Callithrix jacchus: one gene and its partner. The protein of the gene in region 1 binds, or shares a complex with, the protein of each later gene. Links are inferred from orthologs where the notes say so. Each region holds a gene or a part of one and is shown on either strand. Other genes may lie near its edges.

Region 1 (3,801 bases):
GCGCATACCACCATACCTAGATAATTTTTTTGTATTTTTAGTAGGGATGGGGTTTCGTCATGTTGGCCAGGCTGGTCTCAAACTCCTGATCTCAAGTGATCCAGTGGCCTCGGCCTCCCAAAGTGCTGGGTTTATAGGCGTGAGCCACTGCGCCCAGCAGGAGGTCACTAGGACTAAGCCTTAATCCCAGGGACCCTCTTTCTGTCTCCGGGGGGCTTGGATGATACAGGCTGAGCCCAGATATCTACCTGGCCCGCACATGGCTCTGGGAGCCCCTAAATATGTGGCTATTGGGAATAGTCTGCAAGACCTATGGTGAAATGAAGGCCAGCTGGGAGATCCACTGTGAAAACAGAGGCATTTGTCCACATGTGCTTTTACCGACAGGAGCACCTCTGGCAGGACCATGAGGAGTCAGGAACTTGGTGGCTCTGGGGTCAGGAGAGGGAGGTAGGGACATTCACTACTTACAAAAAAAATGCTTTAGGCCAGGCGTGGTGGCTCATGCCCATAATCCCAGCATTTTGGGAGGCCCTGGTAGGTGAATCACTTGAGGTCAGGAGTTCGAGACCAGCCTGGCCAACATGGTAAGATCCCATCTCTACTAAAAATACAAAAATTAGCCGGGTGTGGTGGCACAGGCCTGTAATCCCAGCGACTCGGGAGGCTGAGGCAGGAGACTCGCTTGACCAAGAAGGCGGAGGCTGCAGTGAGCTAAGATCAAGCCACTGCACTCCAGCCTGGGCAACAGAGCGAGACTCTATCTCAAAAAGAAAAAATGCCTTACAAGATATAATGGCTGGAATTTTCTTTAAAATAATAGACTGGGCATGGTGGCACACACCCAGCACTTTGGAAGGTTGAGGTGGGAGGATCTCTTGAGACCAGGAGTTGTAGACCAGCCTGGGCAATATAGGGAGGCCCTGTCTCTTCAAAAAAAAAAAAAAAAAAAAAAAAAAATTAGCCGGGCATAGTGGTACGTGCCCGTGGTCCCAGCTACTTGGGAGGCTGAGGTGGGAGGATCACTTGAGCCTGAGAGGTTGAGGCTGCAGTGAGCTGTGACTGTGCCACTGTACTCCAGCCTGGGCAACATAGTCAGATCCTGTCTCAAAAAATAAAATAAAATATAAGAGAAGAGAAGGAATGTGGTCTAGATTAAGGAAGACTGGCCCAGAGTGGTAAGTCAACCAGTGACAGTGACTTGGGAGTTTGCTGAACTGTGCTTTCTCTACTAGTGTGTGCGAGCTTGAAATGTTCTCTAGTAAATAGTTTAATTTTTAATTTTTATTTTTTGAGACGGAGTCTTTCTCTGTCACCCAGGCTGGAATGCAGCGGCACAATCTCAGCTCACTGCAACCTCTGCCTCCTGGGTTCAAGTGATTCTCCCACCTCAGCCTCCCGAGTAGCTGTGTGCCACCACGCCTGGCTAATTTTTGTATTTTTAGTAGAGATGGGGCTTCCCCATGTTGGCCAGGCTGGTCTCGAACTCCTGACCTCAGGTGACCTGCCCAACTTGGCCCCACCAGAAGTACTGGGATTACAGGCATGAGCCACCCTGCCCAGCCTAGTAAATAGTTTTAAAATGCGTTGTGTGAATAATAAATAAACCTAAATAAATCAAAGTTCCTCTCTCCCCTGAGAGAGTCCCAGCATTCACTGCTTTCCTGGGAGCCCCTGGTTCCCTGTCCAGGTAATCTCTCTGCTCCTGCCTTCATTGGAGGCCACATCAACTAGACAAAAGGAGACCAGGAAGATCCCTCAGAAACCATCCAGACCTGCCAGGCACGGTGATTCACGCCTGTAATCCCAGCAGTTTGCGGGACCAAGGCGGGAGGATCGTTGGAGCTCAGGAGTTTGAGACTAGCCTGGGCAACATGGTGAAACCCCGTCTCTACCAAAAATACACACACAAAAAGCCGGGCATGGTGGCTCACGCCTGTAATCTCAGCACTTTGGGAGGCCTAGGTGGGCAGATCACCTGAGGTCAGGAGTTCAAGACCAGCCTGGCCAATATTGTGAAACCCTGTCTTAAAAAAAAAAAAAAAAATTAGCTGGGTGTGGTGGTGCCTGCCTGTATTCCCAGCTGCTTGGGAAGCTGAGGTGGGAGGACCACTTAAGCCTGGGGAAGCAGAGGTTGCTGTGAGCCAAGATGGCACCACTGCACTCCAAGCTGAGAGAGTAAGACCCTGTCTCAAAAAGAAGAAGAAGAAGAAGAAGGAGGAGGAGGAGGAGGAGGAGGAGGAGGAGGGAGGAGGGAGGAGGGAGGAGGGAGGAGGGAGGAGGGAGGAGGGAGGAGGGAGGAGGGAGGAGGGAGGAGGAGGAGGGAGGAGGGAGGAGGGAGGAGGGGGAAGAAGGAAGAAGAAGGAAGAAGGAAGAAGAAGGAAGAAGGAAGAAGAAAGAAGAAGAAGAAGAAGGAGGAGGAGGAGGAGGGAGGAGGGAGGAGGGGAGGGAGGAGGGAGGAGGGAGGAGGGAGGAGGGGGAAGAAGAAGGAAGAAGAAAGAAGAAGAAGAAGGAGGAGGAGGAGGAGGAGGGAGGAGGGAGGAGGGAGGAGGGAGGAGGGAGGAGGGAGGAGGGAGGAGGGAGGAGGGAGGAGGGAGGAGGGAGGAGGGAGGAGGGAGGAGGGGGAAGAAGGAAGAAGAAGGAAGAAGGAAGAAGAAGGAAGAAGGAAGAAGAAAGAAGAAGAAGAAGAAGGAGGAGGAGGAGGGAGGAGGGAGGAGGGAGGAGGGAGGAGGGGGAAGAAGAAGGAAGAAGAAAGAAGAAGAAGAAGGAGGAGGAGGAGGAGGAGGGAGGAGGGAGGAGGGAGGAGGAAGGAGGAGGAAGAAGAAGGAAGAAGAAAAGAAGAAGGAGGAGGAGGAGGAGGAGGGAGGAGGAGGAAGAAGAAGGAAGAAGAAAGAAGAAGAAGAAGGAGGAGGGAGGAGGGAGGAGGGAGGAGGGAGGAGGAGGAAGAAGAAGGAAGAAGAAAGAAGAAGAAGAAGAAGGAGGAGGAGGAGGAGGGAGGAGGGAGGAGGGAGGAGGGAGGGAGGAGGAGGAAGAGAAGGAAGAAGAAAGAAGAAGAAGAAGGAGGAGGAGGAGGAGGAAGGAGGGAGGAGGGAGGAGGAAGGAGGAAGAAGGAGAAAGAAGAAGGAAGAAGAAGGAAGAAGAAGAAAAAGAAAGAAAAAGTAAGAAAGAAAGAAAGAAAGAAAGAAAGAAAGAAAGAAAGAAAGAAAGAAAATAAACCACCCAGACCATCAGCTCCCCCAGAGGGGCCTTCGATGGGCTCATCGGCCTTCCTGACATGGACCCTGCCTGTTCACCCAAGGCCGGGAGGGGCTCACCCCACCTGAGACGTCCATGAAGTCATCCAGGCTTGGCTGCAGTGGCGTCAGGTCCGGCTGGATCATGTCAGCATTGCCGACGTAGGCTGCAGGCAGCAGTGACGACATCAGCAGCAGCAGGCAGAGGGGAACGGGGTCCCCGCCCCAACCCGCAGCCATTCCTCCCTTGGCCTCCTGGAATCTCACAGGCCTTCACCCCCTCCCCTGCCCCTTCCCAGATCCTCACCATCCTCAGGCGGCAGCTGCAGGGGTGAAGGGCCGGGCTGAGTCATGGTGAAGAGCGTGTCCGAGATGTCGGACAAAAAGCAGTCGAGGTCCAGGAGCTGCCGCCCACCCGGCTCCTGCTCGGGGTCCCCCAGCAGCACGGGGACCACACTGGAGAAGAGCTGTCTGCACCATTGCTCCGGTGGCGGCCACTCGCCTTCCGACTAGGGAGACAGAGCCGTCAGCAGCCACTGAAGGACTCCCCCTGCCCCGACCGGGGTAA
Region 2 (4,509 bases), on another chromosome or scaffold:
ATGGTGAAGCAGAAGTCTGTCATTTAGCTAAGTAAGGGTAAAGGCGAGACAGCAAGGGCCTATTTACTTAGTTCTTCCTCCTACCCGACTGCAAACTCCAAAACAGCAGGGCCCCATCTGCCTTGTTCATTGCTGTGTCTCCAGCACTAAGCAAAAGCCCGTTTGACATTTGTTGAAAGAATAAAGAATTTGTTGAAAGAATAAAGAATAAATGAACAGGAGAATGCGAGAGGCATTTTGAAGTTCTGAGTTTAAAAATCAGGTGAGGTGGCTCATGCCTGTAATCCCGGCACTTTGGGAGGCTGAGGTGGGTAGATCACCTGAGGTCAGGAGTTTGAGACCAGCCTGGCCAACATGATGAAACCCTGTCTCTACTAAAAATACGAAAATTAGCCAGATGTGGTGGCATACACCTGTAATCTCAGCTACTCGGGAGGCTGAAGCAGGAGAATTGCTTGAACCTGAGAGGCAGAGATTGCAGTGAGTCAAGATTGTGACATTGTACTCCAGTCTGGGCGACAGACAGTCTCCGTTTCAAAAAAAAAAAAGGAAGAAAGAAAAAAACTACCTTGAGAGGAGTATAATGATAGACTATTAGTAATTGTGGAAGCAGTCATGGAGGGGAGGGGAGCAATGGAGGCCTGTTTCCTTCCTTGAACTTCCTCAAGGAGGGGGCATTTTAAAGAAGAAATTATGTACACAGACTTTCGTGTATTTTCTGAGACAGGTCTCACTCTGCTGCCCAGGTTGGAATGTAGTGACATGACCATAGATCACTGCAGGCTTCAACTCCTGGCGTCAAGCAATCCTACCACCTCAGCTTCCCAAAGTGCTGAGATTACAGGTGAGAGCCACCATGCTCGGCCCTACACAGGTTTTTAAAAAAGAACTTCGTGCGTCGGATGCCTGGCACTTCACGTGGCCTCTTCAATCTACCAAAGTAGGAAAAAGCACCCTGAAGAATAGAAAGGAGGATTAAGTGATCCTTGAGGGACGAGCAATTTCTGTTCTTCCCTGGGTCCAGTATTTCCAAAGAACACAGCAACAGGACTGACACTGGCCTTCGATCCGGTGAGGATTACTTTCAGGGTGGAGGGGGAACCGATGACCCTCGAGTCTACGGGCGTGTCCCTGGCGCGTTCCCAGCCTGAGCAGAAAGGGCAACCCCCACCCAAACCTCACTCCTAGTCCTCCTTGTTCCCACACAGCCCTAATCTTGACCACACCCAGCTCCGCCCTCTCTCCTCCCACCTCCTCTTTCCGCTCCCCCCGCCCCATTTCCTTCTTCTCCGCCCACCTTCTGCTGGGTCCCTCCCCCGGCCATGGGCCCTGCCCAGGCCGCCGCATCCCTGCCCTCCGCGTTTCTTCCTCCTCCCTTCCGTCAGCGCCCCTCCCGTGGGGCCGCGGCAACCCCGTGCCTCGCTTGCCCAATGAGAAGATGGCGCGGGGCGGGCCCCGGCCAGGGCCGGAGCGGAAGTGGTGGCCGGAGCGGAAGTGGAGCTGCCGCCACTGCCGCCGCGGATTCCCGAGCCTGGGTAGCTGCTGCCGCCGCCGCTGCAGCCACTGCAGGCAGCGCCACCGCCACCGCCACCGCCTGAGCAGTGGGCTTGGGAAGGAAGCGGTCACCTCGCTCGGAGCTTAGCTCGGAAGCGTCTTTGTCCCTTGCAGCCCTCCTACGGTGAGTGCGGCGCGGGGCCCGCCCATGGCCCCCGGGGGCCCAAACTCGAAGCCCCTCTCTGACTGCTGCGACGACGGCGGCCCAGCGGGTGGGCCCCGGGGTGTAGCGGCGCGCTGTCTCTTCGGCTCGGCGCGGCCGAGGGCTGCGAGGCCAGGCCTCGCAGCGGCCCCTCCCTGCTTCCGGGGCCGGGCTCTTTACCTCTTGGAGAGCTCGGGCCTCCCTCGCAGCCTGAGGTCCTGCCGGCCGGGTGGGGTGCAGCTCCGTACTGCGCCGGAAGAGACAGCGGAGCCGGGGATCCCGGATCCTCCCTCACTACCTGCTTCGGTTCCCACGCGACCCCTCCCTGCACCTTGGTAGGCGAGAACCGTCCCCTTCAGCCCTGTCACCCCTGCTCTGTGCTTTCCGGTTTCCAGAAATTAAAATTTAATCAAACGCGGGTGAATTTTTTCTAGCCCCAGTACCCCTGTTTGACTCCTCCTGGATGAGTAAGGGGTTTAACCTTGGGAAACAGCAAGGGGAAAACCCCCTCCCATTTTGGAGTAAAACCATTTCATCATCCTTCACTGGTTATGGAGCCTGGCAGGACCCAAGATTCTCTAGGAAGGGAATTGGGGTTTGACTCAAGAAAATGTATTTATTGGAGCCAGTTACTGAGTCCGGCCGGATTCCGAGGAAAAAATACCAGGGGATGAGAATCGGAGTATTTTCCCACGATATATACCGTCATTTAACGCCAGATTCTTTTGTTTCCTCACCCAGAATTCCCCCATATTGTGTGTTAGCACGTTTTTCGGTCTGAAATATGCCTGGTGGCTTCCTGGTCGGGGGAAAGGGGGTGAAGGGCGAGGGGAAAAAAGGGGTGGGAAGATGAGTGCATCTTTGCCGCAAATGGAGAAGCCCCATATAATGGGGTTTTCAAAGGTGGCAGCCTTGGTAATTAGTTTGCCAACCTTTCTGTGAAATGCACATCTATTGTCGCTGTCTTCGCTGCATTTCCCTTTGGTAAGGCTAGATAGCATCAGGTTCTGATTTTACTTGCCCTGTGTGGGAGATGGAATTTGGCAAGATGATGCTGTGAACATAATATCAGCTTGCCACGGGAGCCAAAACAGAAAGGTGAAGCACTTTAAGAATATGAAAATTGTCTGCATTTCTCTGTCAGTTCGTATGAAACCAGACAGATGCAGTTTATAGAACTGGACACTGTAGCTTTTGCATTTTCGTGTTGGAAATGTAAGTATTGGTTCTTAGTGAATTACTCTTGACTTCCAGTGTACCCTATTTCTTACTTAGGGATATCTCATTTGTTTGAGCCCTCATTTCTTGGATCGCCTTCCTTGGCGATGCATAGTGTGTGAGTGTATAAAACCTGTCAATCTTACTGGACCTAAGTTAGAAATTTAAGTGTGGCCCTCAAAATGGAAGGCTAATAATCCAGTAGCAACTGTGGAATTATTTTCTTAGCGTCTTCCTTCTATAAGGTAAGAAACCATTCACCCATCTTGCAGATGAAGTCTTTAGAGAAGTGAGGTGATTTGGCCTAGACCATACACCTAGTTTTTTTCAAATTGAATATCCTCATTCATCAGTAGCAAATATTTATGGATTGCCAGCCTCTGGAATATGAATCCTACCCTATAATCTTTTGTACATTTCCCATCTTACAGTGCTTGTTATATTGAAGCCATTTTAGAATTGGAGCACCATAGATCAGGGAGGCAGCCTCTATAAAACCAGGCTGAGCAAATTCCCATGATGTTGGTTCTCTAGGCAGAGTCTCCAAAGATTTGGGCCACAACAAAAAGTGCATTTTGCCCATTTGGCCGTGGATAGAGAAGCAGGAAGAGCACTGGACTTGGAGTCAGGTAAATTTGGTTGAAATCTTGCCTGCAGTATTTCCTAGCTTTCTGAAAATCTTCAGCATGTTAATCAATCTCTGGTTCGTAGTTTTCTTATCTCCAGGGTTGTCACTAAGACTTTTTTTTATAAACTGTAAATTGTTAAATATAAGCTTTTGGTTTTGTTGTTTTTTTAATCGGGGTTCACTTTTTTTTTTTTTTTTTTTTTTTTGAGACAGTTTTGCTCTTGTTGCCCAGGCTGGAATGCAATGGTGCGATCTTGGCTCACTGCAAACTCTGTCTCCTGGGGTCAAGTGATTCTCCTGTCTCAGCCTCCTGAGAGTACCTGGGATTACGGGCACATGCCACCACACCCAGCTAATTTTTGTATTTTTAGTAGGGACGAGGTTTTATCACATTGGCAAGGCTGGTCTCAAACTCCTGACTTCAGGTTATCCGTCCGCCTTGGCCTCCCAAAGTGCTGGAATTATAGGCGTGAGCCATCGCGCCTGGCCCAGAGTTCAGTATTAATGGCTTTTTCTCTCCAGTTAACATCTGATGAGACTAAACCCTACTTTGTACACATGTTGCTTTCAAAAACTGATATATTAATATAGGACTTTATTTTGCACATAGGAAAAATCTAGTCTTTCTGAATCATTTTCTCATCTGTATAGCGTAAATGGTAATGCAGCCTTTGATATATTTATGTTGTGACAAGCTCAATAATGAGAGTAAGCATCTGGGATACAGTTGGGGTTCAATAGATGTTATTTGACCATGTGTATGAATATACACGTGTATAGATTAGACATAGCATATATACTATTCATGGACATCTATATAGTATCCATCCATTTGTGATTTATTCACCAACTGATAAGATGGCATCAGACAATTAGTCTATAATAATAGTTTCCACTTACAGTACTTACTGTGTACTAAGCTTTTTTTAAAGCAATTTAAGCATATTAGCTCGGTCTTCGTAACAAC

The links.
Region 2: the proteins of MLXIPL (region 1) and YWHAB are in contact, whole or in part, in a crystal structure (PDB 6YGJ), measured with the Homo sapiens proteins. The link is inferred for Callithrix jacchus from reciprocal best matches to the Homo sapiens genes MLXIPL and YWHAB. Residues at the interface, in NP_116569.1 of Homo sapiens: Asp118, Ile120, Arg121, Asn124, Ala125, Trp127, Arg128, Ala129, Trp130, Tyr131, Ile132, Tyr134; in NP_003395.1 of Homo sapiens: Gly55, Arg58, Ser59, Trp61, Arg62, Ser65, Ser66, Gln69, Lys70, Arg129, Val178, Tyr181, Glu182, Asn185, Leu218, Gln221, Leu222, Asp225, Asn226, Leu229, Trp230.

Annotation. Positions count from the first base shown.
Region 1 is NC_133503.1:10,080,197-10,083,997, reverse strand, and holds part of MLXIPL (carbohydrate-responsive element-binding protein), read right to left. Parts: intron 3,743-3,801; coding exon 3,541-3,742; intron 3,401-3,540; coding exon 3,320-3,400; intron 1-3,319. UniProt on the Homo sapiens protein: Binds DNA as a heterodimer with MLX/TCFL4 and activates transcription. Binds to the canonical E box sequence 5'-CACGTG-3'. Plays a role in transcriptional activation of glycolytic target genes. Involved in glucose-responsive gene regulation.
Region 2 is NC_133506.1:40,243,723-40,248,231, forward strand, and holds the start of YWHAB (14-3-3 protein beta/alpha), read left to right. Parts: upstream 1-1,478; 5' UTR 1,479-1,678; intron 1,679-3,448; 5' UTR 3,449-3,543; intron 3,544-4,509. UniProt on the Homo sapiens protein: Adapter protein implicated in the regulation of a large spectrum of both general and specialized signaling pathways. Binds to a large number of partners, usually by recognition of a phosphoserine or phosphothreonine motif.